2 linked regions of the Saccharomyces cerevisiae S288C genome follow. The protein of the gene in region 1 interacts with the protein of each later gene in a pairwise test. Each region holds a gene or a part of one and is shown in the gene's direction. Other genes may lie near its edges.

Region 1 (11,749 bases):
GAAAATCTTGGAATCCACTTTTTTCTATTTTTAAATAATTTCTCTCAAAAAGCTATTGGTTTGCTGAATATTTGGCCGAGTAATAGTAGACGCACTGGAACTTGTTTCTTCAATGGATGACTCCGCAGATTCATTGTATGACGATACGTATGAAAATCTCCCGGATTCGTGATCCGCCATCCCATAATAAGGATGTGCTATATATATACCGTCTGAGGAACTAGCTCTGTGTAAATCTCTACCATTTTCAAAGGAATCTCGTTTGCCCTCGCCGTTGGTTGTTACTTTATAATTAAGGACATTTAGGAACGGATTTGACGGTGCTTCTGTTTCTGTTACCTCATCACAACTTACCCTCTTGCCAATATCATGGCTAAAGCCCTTTTTGCTGTGATTTTTCACGTTTCGTCTGTTTCTAATAATTATGAATCCGATAAAAATTACTATTACAACTCCAATGACAACTCCAACCGTAGAACCGACAATAACTCCGGTCCTTCTATTATTGGCATCTGAGGTATCTTGAGTGTTTAGTGCACCAGATAGATATTGATAAAGTTTAGCATCCCCGGTAATGGTATTGGATGGAATGGTGAAAGTTAACGGAGGATTTGATTCTTGAAGCACAGTTGTTTGGGGAAAGTGGGTGTTAAATGTTGTCGATCGCTCTGTAAATTTGTATTCTTGGTCATAGATGATATAAACTGAGTTCTCGCTGGTGAATACGGAGTATATTTCCGATGTAGAGGTTGAGGTAAATGTTGTAGATAATGGTGTTGTTAGTTTAGTCGTCGAAGGCTCTATGGTTGGCACCTGTGAAGTAGTGAAAGTCTTCAATGTACTTAACAGTCCTCTATCGATAGTGATATTGCTTTGAACAGAGGAAGTGCAATTGCTAACCAGATATTGTGGACTTGAAGTGTTGTTGCGGAAGGAAGTCGTACCATATGCGGTTGATATGGGGACCTGAATCGAACTTTCTAAACCCTCAATGAGGTTCGTCGTAATTGAGGATACAACCTCAGTGGATAATGCAAAAATGTGGTCTGTAGCTGATGATAAGCTGGCGGTTTCTGACGTGTCAATTTCACTCAGACTTCTGGATTGAGGTGTGCTTATGTATTGCGAAGACGTTACATTTAGTAGCATGGCGAAGTATCGCAATAGAAAGAATTATCAAGATGCCTCGCGCCTTTTGAGGATGTAAAAATAAATCTTAACGTTCTATGAATTACTTTATTATCTCGAGCAGAACCATCTGAATTTTGTTTACGTTTAATCTATGAGAAATTTCTCTGACGCGAAATCTTTCACGTATTTTTAGAGCGCCCGCCCAAGGTAACATACAATACGGTTGATATCTCCTAGTTTGATGCGGTTAGTGAAATTAATATAATGAACTAATATACTCTTTTTTTTGTAAAATATGTACTTGAGCTGCTGCATTCTTCTTCCATCGTCCAGTGATATCGGTAAACCGGTAGCTTTTTCTTAACTTTGAACAAAGAAGAGATAACTACGGACCCTTCTCCACGTTTCGATCTTTGGCTTCACTTCCTCATAGCCTGTATTTGAATCTAGCAGGTGTAATATTGTGGAAGAATGAAAACAGTATTTTTAATGGATTACTAAGGCATATTTAATGCGTTGTCAAGGAGGATGCTTGCACTGCAAAAACGATACATAAGTTAGCATGGGAATTTCATTAATGAAAGAATAAATGCACCGAAACAAAATCATGAATTAATTGTGGTTTCAGAATAATGAAAAATCCATTGGCTGTTCCTGTTCCTATGTGAATGGTTCATCTCTGCCATAATAATTACTATTTTGTTTAAAGAGTCTTTACTAGATATTGCCGTTCACCTTTTGCCTACGAGCTAGCGATAGAGATTTCTGTATGGTATCTGACTTGACATAATGTCCGACATCCCGTTGAAGATATCAAACAATACATGACAAAGGTCGGGCATTAATCTGCTCAAACATTAATTCTTTAAACCTATCTCGATCATATCTAAGAAAGAAAAAAAACTGGCTTTTCGGTTCCTAGTGTTAACTCCAGTACCTGGTGTTGAGAAAAATTTACTATGTGGCCCGGCTAAGTAGTGCAATATTCTGGTACCATACTTCTAGAAATTTTTGCGCGATAACCTAGTGTTTTCTGACGAAGATTTTGGTGTCATTTGTATCTTCGTCGGTACAAAATGGTAATCATAGTATGTTTCCATGTTTTTGGACAAAAAAAAGAAGAAGGTAGCCAAAGAGCTGAATTTGCTATTCTTTTGTGATTATTGTGCGCAAAATAGTGACATTTTCTTTCTCAAATTAGTTACACCCCGGATCCTAACCTTTACTGGCCTGTTGACGTTATTTGTTACGGGCTCAGCCCATCTGAGTAAATTTGGCAATTGTGTTCAAGTCAACGCCTGGAATCATTCCCAGCGTTTTATTATGGACTGGGACTCTTGCAACTGTTCTACTGGCACAGTGGATTTATAGTGAACTGGATTTTTCAAAAATGGCTTCACTTTGAGAAACACTATTTACTATGTTTGTTAACTTCTTAACAGTGTGTATTACTTTTTTGCCATATTGATATTAAAAAAGTCATTTCGACTGCTGACAGAGAATACAACTAGTAACTGGAGAGATAGCTGGTGCAGTGAGTGATTCCACATAATGCCAGACTTCTACTCGTCAGCCAGTTCGATTGTTGAGGAAACATAGCAAAGCAGTTAAGCTGTTTTATTTGTTGGCGAAATCGAACTTGTGAAAGTTGTGGGCTATCCTCGCTTTGATTACATGAGTAGAACCCAAGGATTTATGGAAAATTTGACTGGCTTCAAGATTTTTAAGGCAGTTCTATGAGATCACACACTTAATCCGCTTCCAGAATTTATTTTCTTTTTTTGATGATTTATGCTCAAGGAATTTACCTGTTCTCAAGAATATGTTTTTAATTCGAAGCTTTGCGTATATGATGTTTATCAATAACGTGTGCATCGTCGATATCTCTTCGCTAACAAAAAGCAATTTAAGTACCAAACAAACAGTAGTAATAGAGTGGGTCTACTTTGTCGATTGCCGTAGCAGGACATTTAACGCAAACGCTTCGGTAATCTGGTGAAATGATTGGATTAGGTGTTTTGTAAATTTTTTTTTTTTTTAGAAGATATTAATGCTGCATAGGGGAGAGATAAACGTCGCGGGAATTTGTGGCGGTGGAGCCCAGGTACGTATTAATTTTGAATGGCGCAAATCTACTAAGTACGGTATCATTTTGATGTCGGAATACGGATAGTCAGTCCATAACTGCACCACCAATATTTTTCTTGCCGTTCTCATTTCCTGCACAGTTTCTTTGATTATGTTTGCAGAAGAATTTCTTTATCGTTTAGTCTAAACAAAGAATTCGTTGTAAAGAATTTGAGAGCGGATCTTGCATTTTTTATTTATCATGCTTATGTTTTTTCTTTGATGTAAGAAGAAGCAAGTAAGATATGTGAATATCTTATCACTAATTCAAATAACTAAGAGAGCTCACAACGACAATTTGTGACAGCATGCGAAGCAAAGAGCAGTGATACCAGTATCTTTCATCCAGTAATAACATACGACTGATGTTATAGTTAAATGTTACATTTTGAGAGACTTCAACCTCTCGAAACCAAGAGGTTGGTTTTAACTCTGGTGACTTCAAGAAGGGTGGGTACCTTTTACAAAGCTTGAGACGAAGCAATAGTCAGTCTCTGTATAACAAGGAGACCACCTCATTTTCCAGTAACTCTTGAGGCATGTCGGATGGTTTGCCTTGAATAAACCGCAGTCATTATAATGAATGGCCTGTACTTTCAAAACAGTCTGGAAACAGAAATCCATTGCTGAGGTACCTTTTAGTAGCACTTTCGTTAGTGAAGGTTTAAGGTTAGTTCTTATTTACTGCACAAGAGTTTACATTTAACCACTCTAATAGTAACTGTTAGAGTGGTTTAACTGTTAGGTGATCTGTTCATTCCATTTTTCGTGTTGTATCTCAAGATGAGATAGCTTAGCGTTGCTACATACATAAATCTAAACATATAAACACCTGTGTAACTCGTTAACGTCTGGGCTTCCATGCTTCTACCATTTAGAATGATGTAGACCATTTATTCCAAGAGGATAAGCACCCTCTGTGATTCAAAATGATAATAAGTGTTGACGACAAGTTACTCTCGCAGAATTGTTGTCAACAGTCTTGTATTAGTTGTTATCCAACGCTCCCGTTTTCAAGTTCACTTAGCGCAAGTGGTTTAGTGGTAAAATCCAACGTTGCCATCGTTGGGCCCCCGGTTCGATTCCGGGCTTGCGCAAGTTTAATTTTTTTTCTTTTTCCACATTGTTTTCCACTTTGCACTCATTTCCAGTGTTTATTGTGAATGACAATTTCTTCAATCATTGAAATGATTGATTTTTTGGGATCTATTTTTCTCTTTAGTGGTTACTGATCAGGCAACTCTATATCATTGTTTAACCGCGGCTTGCGTATCTTATTTTCTTTTTCCTAGGCATCTTACTAAGGTACTCTTATCGCTAATCGCTTATCGCTTATCGTGCGCCAAAAACCGCCGGCGGCAATTTCGAGATGTTTTATGTCATGTTGGATTTTGCAATCTATTACCATGGAGGTGAGGGCCTTCGATGGTCCAATACCGGTGCACGTACCCATGTACGTTTATCGAATAAGGGGAGAACCTACTAATTTTAAGTCGGATAACGCGGCTTGGCACAGTAATCAGTTCCTTCTTTGGGTTAGAATCTTGATGTGAGATTGTGCTCAGTGATAATGATAGCGAATACGGCTTACTCTTGAATAACAAATGCATATATATTAAGAAGTAGTTCAAACGTATTCTGTTGACTGGCATGGTCCTTTCCTTCTTGTTGTGATTATATAAAACAGTATAAGCTGTTTACTTCAGTTGTGAAGTGTAACAAGGTCTTATAATTTATTATTACTAACAATGAGTATGTCAAGCAAAAACGAGAATAAGATATCAGTAGAACAAAGAATATCCACTGATATCGGTCAGGCTTACCAGTTACAAGGCCTTGGGTCTAACCTAAGGTCGATTCGCTCCAAGACTGGTGCCGGTGAAGTGAACTATATCGATGCTGCTAAATCTGTAAATGATAACCAACTGCTTGCAGAGATCGGTTATAAACAAGAATTAAAAAGACAATTTTCAACATTACAAGTTTTCGGTATTGCGTTCTCCATTATGGGTCTATTGCCCTCCATTGCATCTGTGATGGGTGGTGGGCTCGGTGGTGGTCCAGCAACATTAGTGTGGGGTTGGTTCGTTGCTGCGTTTTTCATTTTACTGGTGGGTATTACCATGGCTGAACATGCAAGTTCCATTCCTACCGCTGGTGGTTTGTACTACTGGACGTATTACTATGCTCCAGAAGGTTATAAAGAGATTATTTCTTTTATTATTGGTTGCTCAAACTCCCTAGCGTTGGCAGCCGGTGTGTGTTCCATTGATTACGGTTTGGCTGAGGAAATTGCTGCTGCTGTCACATTAACCAAAGATGGAAATTTTGAAGTAACGAGTGGGAAACTTTACGGTATATTTGCTGGAGCAGTGGTGGTTATGTGTATTTGTACATGTGTTGCTTCTGGGGCCATTGCTCGTCTGCAGACGCTAAGTATATTTGCCAATCTTTTCATTATTGTTTTATTGTTCATTGCGCTACCGATTGGTACCAAGCATAGAATGGGAGGTTTCAATGATGGTGACTTTATATTTGGGAAATATGAAAACTTAAGTGACTGGAATAATGGTTGGCAATTTTGTCTTGCTGGTTTCATGCCTGCTGTCTGGACTATTGGTTCCTTTGATTCATGTGTCCATCAATCTGAAGAAGCCAAAGATGCCAAGAAATCAGTCCCCATTGGTATAATCTCATCTATTGCTGTTTGTTGGATTTTAGGTTGGTTGATTATTATTTGTTTAATGGCCTGTATCAACCCTGATATTGACAGCGTTTTGGACTCCAAGTACGGCTTTGCTTTGGCTCAAATAATTTATGATTCGTTAGGAAAAAAATGGGCCATTGCATTTATGTCATTGATCGCATTCTGTCAATTTCTAATGGGTGCTTCCATTACCACAGCTGTTTCTAGACAAGTTTGGGCATTTTCCCGTGATAACGGTTTGCCCCTATCAAAGTATATTAAAAGAGTGGATTCTAAATACTCGGTCCCTTTTTTCGCTATTTTGGCTGCCTGTGTAGGTTCCTTGATTTTAGGATTGTTATGTTTGATTGATGATGCCGCCACTGATGCATTATTTAGTCTGGCTGTTGCAGGAAACAATTTGGCATGGAGTACCCCTACAGTTTTCCGTTTAACATCAGGTAGAGATTTATTTAGACCTGGTCCATTTTATTTGGGTAAAATCTGGTCTCCAATTGTTGCTTGGACAGGTGTTGCTTTCCAATTGTTCATTATTATTTTGGTTATGTTCCCCTCTCAACAACATGGTATTACTAAATCCACAATGAATTATGCATGCGTTATTGGTCCCGGTATCTGGATCCTTGCAGGTATCTACTACAAAGTTTACAAGAAGAAATACTACCACGGTCCAGCAACCAATTTGTCGGATGATGATTATACTGAAGCCGTTGGTGCTGATGTTATCGACACAATTATGTCCAAACAGGAACCATAAATGTTCAAACCTTTATAAAGATTTTATATTCAGAGTTTATAAGGTCTAGCTTATATAGTCAGTATTTTTAATTTAATTATATTATAGTTTATCCTATCTCACCGTTTTAGCTTGTTTTCTGCGCCCAAACATAAAAATCAAGAAGCGCGGATAATTTATGATCAGCTCAGCGGGAATGTTAATGGCAGATACTTAGAATTTGGTGGAAACGATTTTCTTCTCTAATCCTCATCAGAGGAGAGGTAATCGAGCAAGGGACCACCAAGCTTACCAACAGATGGCTTTGATGAAATATTTTCTCTACTGATATTTTTTTTCACTTTCTTCAATTTTTCTATAAAATCATCACTCTCCATTCCATTATCTAATGGCAATAGTCTTTTCTTGACATTATCAACACTTGCTTCTGGAAATGTCCTGTCTAACCTTTCATTATTCTTATTATTAACCTCAGTGCCAGCACTATTGGTATTGTTATTGATTAGATGCACCATCATGTTTAAAGACTCTAACTTCAGTTCTTCTTGCAGTCTTTTCTGTGCAGCGGGGTCTGGATCTTCATTTGCCCATTTCACCAATAGTCCAGTACCCTCCCTTCTATCATCCCATTCTTTATCGCTGGGTAGCAGCAATGTCTGATTGCTCATGGCTTCTTTGGCAAATTCTGCATTAGCTTGATATTTAAACTTCACAAATCCACAGTTTTTGCTCTCAACGTATCGTATTCTATCAATATCACCCAATCGAGAAAATACAAATCGAATTCTGCTTTCTATCTGAGCTGGCTTCAAATGCTTGCTATTCAATGCTCCATCAATACCACCTACATACAATGTCTTGTTTTTCTTCCTAAATGAACCGATCCCGCCCATATCCTCTCTATAGTCAGCAAATTTTTCTCTACCAAAACAGTCCAATACCTCTGTCCTCAGGGCCAGTTTACCTATATCTTCTTCGTCTGGTATATGATGCAGATATTCACATTTAGGGCCAAGGCAACACATACCCTTTGCAAAAAATAGACAGAAGAACAACTGGCCATCATTATCGCCCCTAGTCTTCCCAGAATGAAGTTGCGGCTGCAAAGCAAATGGACTAACAAATCGTGTATTCCCCGCAAACCCTTGGGACCATTTATTATACCATATATTAAACGTCAATCCAGTCTGCGCCGGTATAGAGGAGGGCAGTTCTGACTCCTTCACTTGCACTTTCGCGGATTTATCCCTCCAAGATGTCATCCAAATTTCTATCAATGCGTATACTGTCTTACTAACGTCGTTACTACCTTAAGGCCCATCGCCAGTAGTCTTTATTATGATCCAGCCTTCAATACATAATGGAAAATTTCATCATTACCCGCATATGTACGTATGTAACGATGGAATGCTCAAAAACTGAAAAAAATTTTTCTGAAAAAAAGTGATGAGGAATAAAGAAAAGTAAAAAACGAATGCATGATATAGTAGTAGTAAATGGTCAATGGATCATTGGGTAGCAGAGAAACGGAAACAAGTGCAGTAAAAATGGGTAAAGACAACAAGGAACATAAGGAAAGCAAAGAAAGCAAAACCGTAGACAACTATGAGGCCAGAATGCCTGCTGTGTTGCCATTCGCTAAACCATTGGCCTCTAAGAAACTAAACAAGAAGGTCTTGAAGACCGTGAAGAAGGCTTCCAAGGCCAAGAATGTTAAAAGAGGTGTCAAGGAAGTTGTCAAGGCCTTAAGAAAGGGTGAAAAAGGTTTAGTCGTCATCGCCGGTGACATTTCTCCAGCTGATGTTATTTCCCACATCCCAGTCTTATGTGAAGATCACTCTGTCCCATACATCTTCATACCTTCAAAGCAAGACTTAGGTGCCGCTGGCGCTACAAAAAGACCTACCTCAGTTGTCTTTATCGTCCCAGGTAGCAATAAGAAAAAAGATGGAAAAAATAAAGAAGAAGAATACAAGGAATCTTTCAACGAAGTTGTCAAAGAAGTTCAAGCTTTATGAAAAAAGTTCGCTTCTTAACCATATTAGAAATCTAGAAGAAATAAAAAAAATCTGGCATTAGATATATATTTTGACTGTAGGCCTTCTGTATATTATATAATACTACTAATAACATCAAATGTTTGTGACTTTTCGGGTAACCGGGCTTCGTTCTACTGTTCCACTTTTTGTATGTTTAATGAAAATATCATCAAAGAAATAGGTATATAATTGATAACAAGAGAATCGCGGGCCGTTGCTACAGGATATTCTGCAGAGTCGAAGAATGAGATTTGTGTTCGATGAGGTTTTCAATTCAGATACTGATTCTCCAGAATTTGAGGAAACATGTTCTACAACATCTTCTACGTCATCGCAATGCCCTACACCTGAGCCGAGCCCAGCAATAAAGTTACCTTCATTCACGAAAGTTGGCACGAAGAAATTGGTAAATGAGTCGGTAGTTATTTTAGATCCTGCTCTAGAAAACGCCTTGCGCGATTTGAACCTTCAATCGAAACTGATCCCCATTAATGAGCCCATTGTAGCCGCGTCATCGATAATAGTACCGCATTCAACCAATATGCCACTACCGAGAGCATCGCATTCGTCATTGCTAGATAATGCTAAGAACTCAAATGCGACAGCACCCTTACTCGAGGCAATAGAAGAATCTTTTCAAAGGAAAATGCAAAACTTGGTGCTTGCCAATCAGAAAGAAATTCAATCTATTAGAGAAAATAAACGTCGTGTTGAAGAGCAACGTAAGCGAAAAGAGGAGGAAGAGCGCAAACGTAAGGAAGCTGAGGAAAAGGCCAAGCGGGAGCAGGAATTATTACGTCAAAAGAAGGATGAAGAAGAACGTAAACGCAAAGAAGCTGAAGCAAAGCTAGCGCAGCAGAAACAAGAAGAAGAAAGGAAGAAAATAGAAGAACAGAATGAAAAGGAAAGACAATTGAAAAAAGAACATGAAGCCAAATTATTGCAGCAGAAGGATAAATTGGGTAAAGCAGTTACAAACTTTGATAAAATCTCCAAAATGTTTTGGCATTATAAAGACAAAATTGCTCAAATAAAGCAAGACATAGTTCTGCCTATAAAAAAAGCTGATGTGAATGTAAGGAATTTGCTCTCACGTCATAAAAGGAAAATTAACCCGAAATTCGGACAATTAACTAATAGCAACCAGCAACTTTTTAAAATACAGAATGAACTAACTCAATTGATAAATGATACTAAAGGCGACTCTCTAGCATATCATTGGATTTTAAACTTTATTGCCAAAGCCGTAGTACATCAGGCGGAAACAGAAGTCAGGGTAAAACCAGAGTCTGCTCTGCCCCTAGGGAAATTGACTTTATATTTGTTAGTCCAATTCCCAGAGTTACAGGAATTGTTTATGGCAAGACTTGTCAAGAAATGCCCCTTTGTGATAGGATTCACGTGTGAGATTGACACAGAAAAAGGCCGTCAAAACATGGGATGGAAAAGAAACAACGAGAATAAATGGGAAGATAACACATCCTACGATGAGAGAATGGGCGGGATCTTATCATTATTTGCCATAATAACGAGATTACAGTTACCTCAAGAATTTATCACCACCACGAGTCATCCTTTCCCCATCGCATTATCGTGGCATATTTTGGCTAGAATATGTAATACGCCACTAAATTTAATAACAAATACCCATTTTGTCATACTCGGTTCGTGGTGGGATGCCGCTGCCGTACAGTTTCTTCAGGCGTATGGGAACCAAGCCTCTAAATTGCTAATCTTGATTGGTGAGGAATTGACCTCCAGAATGGCTGAAAAGAAATATGTGGGTGCTGCGAGATTAAGAATTTTATTAGAGGCCTGGCAAAATAATAATATGGAGTCCTTTCCGGAAATGTCTCCTTAGAAAATTCTGAACTTATATATGCACATTATGCTAATACACTTTATAATGACTTTATTTTAAACGTCGCCATTTTTAGTTTTATTTTCGGCTCGATATCAAGGGATGGCAGAAAATACGTCATGAATATTAAGCCGTAAGTGGGAAAAGTTAAGACAATCTCCCACTCAAATATACGTACGTGAAATTGACATTTGAACTACCGCTCATAATATCTTATTCGATCAAGCAGAATATTCATTCTTTTTCCGGCGCCTATCTCCTTACCTTTATTTGTAAATGCTACTCTTCATTTATCAAATTTTTTAAAGCAGATGCATAAACCTTTAAGATGGCTAATAACGATAGCCTTCTACGTTTCGAACGTTATATTAATAGGCTATTCCCTTTCTAGTAATGGCTCAATATCTGAATTTTATCTGCATTCTGTTGTACTTATTGAATGCTTCTCTTTACTAGGAGTGGTTACCTCTGACTGCTTAACACCATCTTTGTCATACATTTCCAGTAACATATTCCATATTTCCGATAGAGTATCCGGCATGACTTTATTAGCATTGGGGAATGCACTTCCTGATATTACTAGTACTTACCAGTCGATGAAATCTGGCGTGACTTCCTTGGCCATTGGTGAGTTATTTGGTGGCATATTTTTTCTGTTAACCGTTGTGATTGGACTAATGGGCTGCGTAGCCACTATTCAATTTCAACATGACAAGTCTATTGAAACTTACACAGAAGAAAGCTTTGACCAAAATTTATCGTATGATAGAAGCAATTATATATTGGATGTCGGAATATTCACTTTTATGCTCTTAGTTTCGGGCACTTTTCTAGCAGATGGAAGACTGTACTTTTGGGAGTGTATTGTCATGGTTTTAACCTACTGCTGTTGTGCTGTCTATTTAATAAAAAGCTACAAATATCCCTGCGAAATCAATGATGCTTTAGAAAGAGAGGTAGAAATAAAAAAAACTGTACTTGCAAATAATCATATCACTGTTCCAAATCGATTTACATTAACGACTACCAGTGACATTACATCCACAGACGATGGAATAAGATATGTAAGGCCTTTGGGGGATACACAGATTGATGAGGACAACGCTATTAGTTTAGATCCAACTCGTTTACCAAGTAAATCCCTGGAT
Region 2 (10,599 bases), 1.0 Mb from region 1:
AAGGATGTCGACAGTTAATGTTTTGAGATACTCTGCGTTGGGTTTGGGGCTATTTTTTGGTTTTAGAAATGATATGATTTTGAAGTGTAATGCTAAGAAGAAAGAGGAGCAGGCACAGTACGAGGAGAAATTGAAGCTGGTAGAGGAGGCAAAGAAGGAATACGCCAAGCTACACCCTGTAGTAACTCCTAAAGATGTGCCTGCGAACGCCTCATTTAATTTGGAAGATCCTAATATAGATTTTGAAAGAGTTATTCTTAACGCCGTTGAATCCCTGAAGGAAGCTTCAACATAAATAGAAGCTTCAACATAAATAGGATACTAAAAATGCACATTAGCTCGCACTGAATGACGAAGTTATGATGGATTCTCGTTCGCTAGATGTTCCATATTTTTTTCTTCATTCGTTAGTGCACAAACAATAAGGAAAAAAATGAAATGTATATATTCTAGAACATACTAATATCATACGTATCGTATTGTAAACAAAATTCACATTCCAAAAATTTTTCAGATTCTTACTTTATATTATTTGCATCAAGCTTTATTAACAATGACACGTTATTTTATATGTACAGGATACTATAATGTCATACTATTTAGGATCACCTTCTAACTCTGCTAAAAACCCTTCCAGGTGGTAGGCCATATTTTTCTCTGACGGCGGCGACTTTGGCATCCCATTCGCTTCTCCAGATATGTGCCCCAATAGCGGTTAGATTGTATTTCTTCGTAAATTGCCTGATATCAAAATCATCTCTACTTAGTTCCTTTCGGTCAATCTCTAACATGTTAGGACCTTGCTTATCCTCGATTAAGGGTTGTCTGAATACCCAAACAACGAATCTCTGTTTTCCAGCATTCTTTTCAGGTACCGGAGGTAAGTAGTCAGCGATAATATTAGAACTGTGGAACTTTCTTGGATCTATTAAATTGTCATTATAAGTCAAATTAATATTCACCAATCCGTAACACAAAGCCGTTTTAAATGAGTCATTACTCAAATCTGGAACATCAGGATTGACTATCAGTACCGTATACAATTGTTTTTCAACGTTCACAAGTTCATATTCTTGAATTTTGAAAATGGGACGCATGGATGTGACATTGGACGATAGAAATTCACCAGGTTCGATCCACTTATTTACACCAGTAGAGAAGGGAAATTTGATATTCACTTCTGCCCGTGGAACCAGAGTTGGAAGAGTATCAGGAATGGCAGCCAACGTTTCTAACCTTTGCATCAATAACATCTGGCCGTACGATTCCCAATGTTGTTTCCCCAAATGTCTGTACACTGGCACATCATAATCTATTATATCCTTAACATTGTTCAACTTGTTATTAAACTGAAAATTGTATTGTACCTCAGGATTATTGATCTCTGCTTTTATGAGAAGTGCATCCTTCTTCAAGGGATTTTTAGTCTTATTGGCCAACTCATAAAACTTACTGGATCTTTGCTCAAGAAAATCATAACTCATCCTGAAAATCTCATCAATGTGTTCTGGAGGTGAATATTTGATACGGTTACTTCTTCTGCTGATAGATGGTGGGTCTAGAGAAGCTTTCTTCTGGAAAAGGTAATTTTTCACTTTTGAAGATTGGATAGAAAGTGAACTAGGCCTTGTGGTAAAGTCCGACCAAATATGCGAAGTAGCATTAGGTTTTTGGAGGATTTTAGTGGTATGAATAGATCTTCGTAACATAGTTCGGCAGTGACCTTGATTTCTGTAAAGATCTCTGAATAAGCTTTTTGCTGTAGTCTGATATTGTATTGGATACTGTTGTCTTATCCCAGACCTTCCGGCTTCCGGTTTAGCCCGGAAAATTTGAAAAGACTGCGACAGTAAATCCCAAACACATAAGAAAATAAAAAAAGGAATACATAAACAAAAATGGATATATAAAGGCTAATTTTTTTTTGTTTATCAAATATTCCTTATTTTTTAACTTTCTTAAAAATATTTAAACACCAGATTTCGAAAAAAGTAATATTTATTCTTTAAAAATGCGGTGACCAGCGGGCGATGATAATCAAATATTTAAAAATGATATAATGATAAAACTTGAATTATTTTTATAGGAAAAGTGGAACCAAAAGATTTTCTAATGCACTGATATCATGAGCAGTTAATGAAAAATTATTAATATTATTTTTTTTATATTTTTATTCAAAAATAACATTCAAAATTTAATTTTAATAAACTCATTTAAAAAAAACCTCTAAAAACATGAAGATAGAACTATAATAACGGCTTCAGTATTCAAGACAAAGCCATGTGCAGGTGAAACGATAGAAAAGTGACATAGCCGAGACAATCTAAATGAAGAATTCCTGTACTCATCTCAGACTAGCATTAACAGGGACTTGCATAATTATATCTCTATCTCTGTGTCTATGTATATATATATATATATCGACACAAATGCAAAAAATTACAAAATTTTCACCCACCATAGACGCCAGTGAAAACATGTTTAATTTCTTCCAACGTGTAGTTACCTGCCAAACATAATTGTAACAAGATTCTGCTCTTTTCAGGGCTTAGATAACCAGATGCGATGAGATTATCCTCCTTTGAACCTTTCTTTGGTACGTTGGCAATAGGCACCATACCATCCATCGATCTCTTGGAATATACGATCGGCAAACTCAATTTCATGCAGGTTTCATTGACCTCCTCCGGCAATGAACCAGCACCCATGGTAGCAAGAACAATACCATCATACTTATCTGCCACTAAGTTGACTATAGCTGGCGGAAAGGCTTGGTGAGCATATAAAATGCAAACCTCTGGTAATTTAAAATGCTTACCGTCCACTCTCAGTTTGAATTTGTGGCAACCTTGCGGTTTCACAGGAGGATAATAGTAGTGAATTTCATTGTTGACAAAATTTCCTAAATAGCCTTGTCTAACATTAAAAGAATCCAAACTATTTGCATTCGTCTTAGTAATGTAGTAACCAGAGGAAATTTGGTCATTCAAGGAAACAAGAACACCTCTTCCTCTAGATTTTGGATTTGAAGCAATGCAAATTGCTTGGTAAAGGTTCATAGGGCCATCAGCAGAAACGCTGGTTGAAGGACGCATCGAACCAACAAAAACAATAGGAACGTCGCCAGCATCAATAGTACTTTCAATAAAGAATGCAGTTTCAGATAGCGTATCAGTCCCATGGGTAATAACTATACCGTCAAAAGCCTGCAACGATTCTGAGACGCCCTTATAAATTTTATAAAGAATATCCTCGTTTATGTCTTTAGAATCCACGTTGCATAGTTGCTCATATTCAATGTCACAGACCTTGGATATATCTGGAATGGCATCCAATAGATCTTGGATGGTCAGGTCAACATGATAGCCGGCAGTTTGAGAGGAGTCTATAGCTTTCGATGCAATAGTACCACCGGTACCCAAGATTTTGATTCTTGGTAAGCTACGTTGTTGGCAAGCGATGCCGCTGCCATTCACAGCGGCATTTTGAGACTTTAGAATCTCTGGAATAGTCTCTGGACAGTTGCTTTGCACAACAAACTGAGAATTTTCAACATCTGGGCAGATGGTAGTGATTTCAACTGAATCGCTTTTCATGATACGCTTCCAAAAGTGCGATGAGAGTGCTGTTATCCTCCACTGTCTTCAAACACATTTCTTCAACAAAGTCATCGTCATCATCTTTTTTTTTTTTTTTTCATCGAGTATTTTTTCACACGAACGGCACAAGTAGCCTTCAACTGTAATAAACAAAAGCAGATAGGGAGGAAAAGAAGTGAGTTTAGGAAAGAAAGCATAACATGGAGAACCCTCATGAACAAGTGCAGGCTAACATACTTTCGCGAATAATTGGTAATGTCAAAAGGCTCAATGAGAGCGTGGCAATTCTTAACCAGGAGCTTGTGACCATTAATAATCGGAACAAAAATCTAGAAATCATGGGCGCAATTTGTGATAACTACCATAGTAGCGTCCAATTCAACCTGGAAGCGACCAATAACAAGAAGCCACCTCTTTAATTCACCAATTTTCTATATACGCATACTCATATACACATATATATATGCTATACCGTTTCTAATATATTCATTTAAGATCACTGTTTCCTGCGAAAAGGAGAAAAAAATAACAGCACATCGCTTAACCTATTCCTGTGCTTCTGGAAAGGACGCAGCCTGCAAGAAACAGTCAACATCAATGTCAGATCCATTTGCACATTTACTGACTTCTTTGAAGAATAAGGACTCTGCATCTGCATCCAAGGAAACAACTCCTCAGAGCAGCAATTCGCCTTCCATTACTGGTTCCGCTGTTGCAGATGTTGCAAGGACGGATAAAAGCCCCAATGATAGTCTGCATTCAATTTCAGCTCCTCCGCTGATACCGTCACCGAAGGTAGATTTTTCTGCACCTCCTTTGGTCCCAACTAATAGCACCACTAAATCTAATACTGCCAACAACACACCTCCCTCGGCTCTTGCCAATACCGATGACGACTTCAATCAACTATTTGGTATGGGCACAGTAACTACAACGGATACGATCCAAAAACCGGATGAGGATTACTATGGAAGCAAGGAAGACCACCTTTACAATGGTGATGACGCCTTAGTTGATGAAGTTAAGGATATGGAAATAGCAAGATTGATGTCTCTAGGTTTATCAATTGAAGAAGCCACTGAGTTTTACGAAAATGACGTAACTTATGAAAGATATTTGGAGATTTTAAAGTCAAAGCAAAAGGAGCGCAACGATCTAGCTATAAGAAAGAAAGAAAGTGGTATAAAAATGGAAAAGTCAGGATTATCCAACATTGTTGGTACAGATAGCAATAATTTATTCAGCATGGCCACTGATTTTTTCAATAAGGGTAAGAAACTGGTAGACCAATGGACCTCCTTCCCACCTGAGGCAAATGATAGACTGAATAATTACTCAAAAACTCATGATAAGGTTGAGGATTATGATTTGCCTCAAGTAAACGACTCACCCAATAGAATTTTGTTTGAAGATAATGAAGTCGTAGAGAACTTACCACCTGCCGATAATCCGGATCAAGATCTTTTAACTGATTTCGAAACAAAGATTGATATAACAAAGAGGACAGCGCCTGATGTCTCCCACTCCTCCTCACCGACTTCTGGTATACTAATTGAAGAAAATTCGCGAAGAAATGAGCCCCTGATAGAGGATAGTCTTCTCGACTTTTCAGAAGGAAATCTCACCAATAGTAAAAGCAATGAAGATAGCACCCTCTTCAATGAAAACAGCAACACTGACTCTACAATACCCATCTCAGATATTGAATTATCGGGGTATAACGAATTTAAGGCGAAAGGTACTAGTTTGTTCAAGAACGGGGATTATATTAACTCATTACAAGAATATGAAAAGTCTTTAAATACATTGCCTTTAAATCATCCATTGAGGATCATTGCATTATCAAACATTATTGCCTCGCAACTGAAAATCGGTGAGTACTCTAAGTCCATAGAAAACTCCAGCATGGCTTTGGAATTATTCCCATCAAGCAAAGCTAAGTGGAAGAATAAAATCTCAAATAGTGACCCTGAAAGATCATTTAACGACATCTGGCCAAAGATTATGATTAGGCGTGCTGAGTCTTTTGAACATTTAGAAAGTTTCAAAAAAGCACTAGAAACATACCAAGAGCTGATTAAGAAGAATTTTTTTGATGATAAAATCATGCAGGGAAAAAGAAGATGCCAAGACTTTATTAATCCTCCCCCTGTTAAAAAATCCATGCCCGTTAAGAAGAAGACAACGACAACCTCGCCTGCAACAAAAAAACAGAACTTAACCGCTTCTTCTTCAAATTCTCCAATTTCTGTTGATAGCACTTCAGAAATAAAAAAACGGGAGCTAGAAAACGCTAAACTGGCGCTATATGATAAAGTATTTGAGAAAATTAGCTCCTGGAAGGATGGCAAAGACGATGACATTCGTCATCTGTTAGCAAATTTATCCAGCTTACTAACATGGTGCAATTGGAAGGATGTCTCTATGCAAGATTTGGTTATGCCTAAGAGGGTCAAAATTACATACATGAAAGCTGTAGCCAAGACACATCCTGATAAGATACCAGAGTCCTTGTCCCTGGAAAATAAGATGATTGCAGAGAATATTTTCAGTACTTTAAGTATTGCTTGGGATAAGTTCAAACTGCAGAATGACATTAACTGATTTCCCTTGTGTGCCTGCTTCGCTCAGTTGTTTTTGATATGTACTTTATACAAATATATATAGGAAAACAAATTCTTCAAAGCGCGTTAGGAAAAAGTATGGAAAGGCTTAGTTTCATTTATTGACTTACAAGTGGCACCCAATTTGATTAATATGAAAAACAATCTGCAAAAAAAAAAAAAAAATTCAAAATATCACAATGTTAAAACACAATAGAAATAGGGCATTGTATTAAAACCACTGAACGACTAAAAATTGAAAAAGATTATGATACGTCAGCTCAATTATTGGTCAAGGAAGGCGTATCTCATTTACCCCTTTCAAGTTTTTGTAGGCGCATTATTATCAATAGTAGTATCTTCAGAAACATTAAACCATCAAAAAGAGACATGCGCTCTATTGAAATCGTCCAATATTTTCAATGTTATTTTTGCATACAAAGCGAACCAACTGTGGCCATTTTTATTCTTTAGTTTGGCTTTTCTGCAAATATACTTCCACTATCTAGCAAGAATGGATATATTGCCTTTACCAATATCAAGTACCGAAACTAGCTCTTCCTATTTAACATATACTAACCATTGGCCTCTGCTCAAAAATAGAATAATCAGTATTATGATCACTCAATATGCTTGCAAGTTCGTTCTAAAATATCTATTATTGTTTTTGAATTTCCAATTTATCGATCATGTTTTCATTTGGACAGGGGGAGAATGCAGTTCTGGTAGTAAAACGACATCAGCTGAAAAGTGCCGTCTAGAAAATGGGAAATGGGATGGTGGGTTTGACATTAGTGGACACTTCTGCTTTCTTGTGAGTATAAGCATGATTCTTTGGATGGAACTTCACTTATTCAGTAGATTTGTTCAAGCTGAAGATATGTTTTGGGTTGTGAATAAGTGGGTACGAGCTTGCCTTGCCATTGTTTGCGCTGTCCTAGTAATTTGGATATGTATTCTCTGGGTTACCGCTATTTATTATCATACTATCTTGGAAAAAGTGTTAGGTTGCCTTATGGGTTTCATATGCCCTGTTTTCATATACCACATTCTACCCAAAATTGGGATACTACACAATTACTTATATCTATGATAAACAGAGAAAATTAGCTCTATCCTCTTTCTATAAAGTATATTTTTGTTAACATTCACTTGAATATTGTCGCGAAAGAATGGTTTAATTTTAATTCCAAATCATCCAAAGAACCGAGCAATGCAATTTCCCATTTACTTTTATTATTTTGACTAAAATCATGAATATCGTCCAATATTGAACATGAAACTATTTCATTTTGTTTTACAAACAACTCGACTTTAATATCCTTCACAAAAAACGAAACCATTGAAGATTCTAAATCTAAATCTAAGTCGTGGATTATCTTCTTAGCTTCTAAGTCCTTAAAAATCTGTCGTCTTTTCTGTACTTCCACAAGTTGCAGGAAGACTCTTTTAGCAAATAAATAGGCGTCATCATGAGATATCACTAGTCCCCCATTGGTGTCATCAAATATACCTTGGACATCAATGAAACTCGGGATTGTATGCTTGAACAGGAACCAACTATTCGATTTGATCCTCTTTTTCAACAATACATAGTGAGGTTTTTCAAATTGGGATGTCCGTTCGCTGAAGACTTCCAGTCGTATTCCCAGCATTTCTCTATCAACAAATATTTCACCGCTAGCATCTTTTATCTTAAGGTCAATAGGGTCCACAAGAGGGAAAAATGTTATACCAAACATTCTATAAACATTTTCCAGGACAATATAATCTTCCAACTCACTTCTATCACTTGTACTAATATCGTCTATTTTTAGTTTTCGCTTTCTTTTTGAAGGTGACGTTAGAATGTCTGTATCCAATAAATCTGCCACCCCAGGATCAAACATTTGATGCTGAACCATTGGCTGGGTCTTTAAAACCCATTCTTGTTCTGGTAAAATTTCCTCATTCTCCAGCTTAGCTCTTTTCTTTGGTTCATACGGTATTGGCGTTGCTGGTATATCCGCTTGCGCCCTTGATATGTCCTTGTCATCTGTCTCTTCCAATTCTGGATGCTCATTAAATAAAAAATTATTCAACTGTGGGAATTGATCGAATAGATCTTCAAATTCTTGTACTATAGGATTAGCGCTCTCCTCATTTTTTCTTTTATCTTTTATCTTCGCTTTGAGCTTCTCACGACTTTCTTCTAATGAATTGACTGTGAAGATTCTACTATGTTAGTGTTCAACTTAATCATTTTTTTAAAAGAAAGAAAATTGTTACAGCCTCAAAATCACATACTTTCACTGAGTAAAGATTCAATGTCCTGCTGTAAATCATCGATTCTACTCATTGCCAGGAGCGTTACTGATAGTTTGAAAGAATTGCTCAAGTAAAGAAATCACATTTTCCCCTCATTATCCATATGGCTTTTGTTTGTTTTTTCTTCAGTTTTGAAATATGCGCGTTTTCTTACCATCATTATAAACTTAGGGAAGATCTATCATAGAATTGGTCGGCCATTACTGGCGATTAGTAAAACAATACATAAAGTTTGCATATTCAATGCGATAAAAATTTAAGACGGCCCAGGTATCGAATCCATGATATAGTGGTTCTTTTATGTATTAGGCTACTATTTATTTAATAACTTCGCATCTATCAAAAGAAAAGACTGACTGTTCACACAATCATATCAATTTGATAACTGCTAATTACTTCCAGCTTAGGTCCCGCCTCTTTACTTTTCCTTTCAATCGCCATCAAAGAGGCAACATAAGAAACCTTTGAAACTGGGACAGCGTATCCTAATAATGCAGATCCTGGCATCCTATATATACTGGAAGCAATTATTTCGCTTAACTTTGTTCTTAAGCCAATCCTTCTGGCCTCACTGATATATTTCTTTTTATAAACTAAAAGATAGTGAGGATAATAAAAAATTTTTTCCAAGAAAGTGGAGTTTTCTTTACCCAATTCAACGTTTATAGGATTTCCGTGCTGTCCACACATCGGACCTGGCCTCAAAATAACTAGCTCCTTTAGCTTATTTGGCAAAGCTTCATCCAAGTCATTTTCTAATTTAGCTTTTATTCTAAAATACTCGAAAGTTTTACTAAGAAAATCATTATTAAAGGCAGTTGTAACCACCAACCTTTTGTTAGTTGTATTCGTGAATTCTTGTGCTAAATTAAAAGGTAAGTAATAGTCAGCAAAGGAACTTGGTACCTGAGTTCTCCGCACTCTAGCTGAGGTGGAGCCCAAAGAGCACACCATAGTGCTAATATCACACAGACTAGGCAAACTTCTACCGGGAACGTAATTTTTGTTGTCAATGTCAAACTTTTCCAGCTTTTGTGTTCCTGAGAATATCCGTGGAAGCAATTTTGGCCAAGTTTCAGATCTGGGGATGATCAATTGCGTTACAGTAAAATTACAAATGATCTCAATACCTTTTTCCTTTCCGCATGCATAATGTAGTGTGTAACTGAACTGTTTCTGATTATAAACAAAAGAATAACCATCTTTTCCCCTCTCTTCAGGCGTATTTTTAATAAATCCTTCTTCAAAATTATCATAACAAAAAGTATTAGGACTAGACGGTACTTTTTCAGTGTCTTTTTCTTTCCTGCTTCTCAAGTAATATCTGCCACCTTGCCAAGTAACTGATCTCATATTTATATAATCAATGGTCTTCATAAATGATTTCTCCTCATTGATGCACCTTCTATTAACACAAAAGACATGTTTATTGAGAACGACATTTCCCTTTATTTCACTTAAGCTATCAAGCTTGCCTTGTAGGTCCGAAACATTTTTAATATATAAATTTATGTCCAACAGGTTCTCTAAAATACCTTTTCCTACTAAACTAGATGATCCAAACAATAAAACGTAATCTGTAAACGTGTTGACACTATAACTCATTTCTGATCAACCTTTCTAGTTTGGAATATTCTTCAAAGGGTCTATATGTATAAAAAGCTGTCATTTATATTAAAAAGAATTTATAGCGTTTACTGCGGATCAAAATTAAATACGTCAATTTTTCTTAAAATTTCTTTTAATCTAAATGACACAAAAAATGTCACCCATCATTATATGTATTGAAAACCAAAAAAAAAAAAGGAAAATTATACTTTCAATGAAAGACACAAAAATGAAGAAGTTCAAGGATATAAAAGTTAGTTTTTACCTGTTGAATTATATGCAGAGTTACTGTTAAATTACAACAACTTATCGTTTCTTGATGAGTATTCAAGGTGACGGAATATTATCATATATGATGTAATAAAATGACATAAATGATAAGAATGCGTTATCAAATTTAAAAGCAACTGAAACGCACGGATTGATGATAAAAAAGGATAACGATTGGTAACATTTAGACTAAAGAATAGATCGTAATATAG

What was found.
Region 2: the proteins of UGA4 (region 1) and YFT2 interact in a protein complementation assay, tested with the Saccharomyces cerevisiae proteins (one large-scale study listed by BioGRID).

Annotation. Positions count from the first base shown.
Region 1 is NC_001136.10:79,264-91,012, forward strand, and holds UGA4 (Uga4p), read left to right. Parts: upstream 1-5,006; coding exon 5,007-6,722; downstream 6,723-11,749. Other genes in the region: YDL211C (uncharacterized protein), read right to left, coding at 31-1,149; active spliceosome conformation promoter CWC2, read right to left, coding at 6,944-7,963; snoRNA-binding protein NHP2, read left to right, coding at 8,249-8,719; nucleoporin GLE1, read left to right, coding at 8,985-10,601; YCX1 (Ycx1p), read left to right, coding at 10,913-11,749. UniProt on the Saccharomyces cerevisiae protein: Required for high-affinity, high-specificity GABA transport. Also transports putrescine.
Region 2 is NC_001136.10:1,101,699-1,112,297, reverse strand, and holds YFT2 (Yft2p), read left to right. Parts: upstream 1-6,470; coding exon 6,471-7,295; downstream 7,296-10,599. Other genes in the region: TIM11 (F1F0 ATP synthase subunit e), read left to right, coding at 5-295; mitochondrial 54S ribosomal protein mL38 MRPL35, read right to left, coding at 606-1,709; asparaginase ASP1, read right to left, coding at 2,451-3,596; DAD4 (Dad4p), read left to right, coding at 3,800-4,018; auxilin-like protein SWA2, read left to right, coding at 4,197-6,203; MCM21 (Mcm21p), read right to left, coding at 7,351-8,405, 8,489-8,540; HIM1 (Him1p), read right to left, coding at 8,870-10,114. UniProt on the Saccharomyces cerevisiae protein: Fatty acyl-coenzyme A (CoA) diphosphatase that hydrolyzes fatty acyl-CoA to yield acyl-4'-phosphopantetheine and adenosine 3',5'-bisphosphate. Preferentially hydrolyzes unsaturated long-chain acyl-CoA substrates in the endoplasmic reticulum (ER) lumen.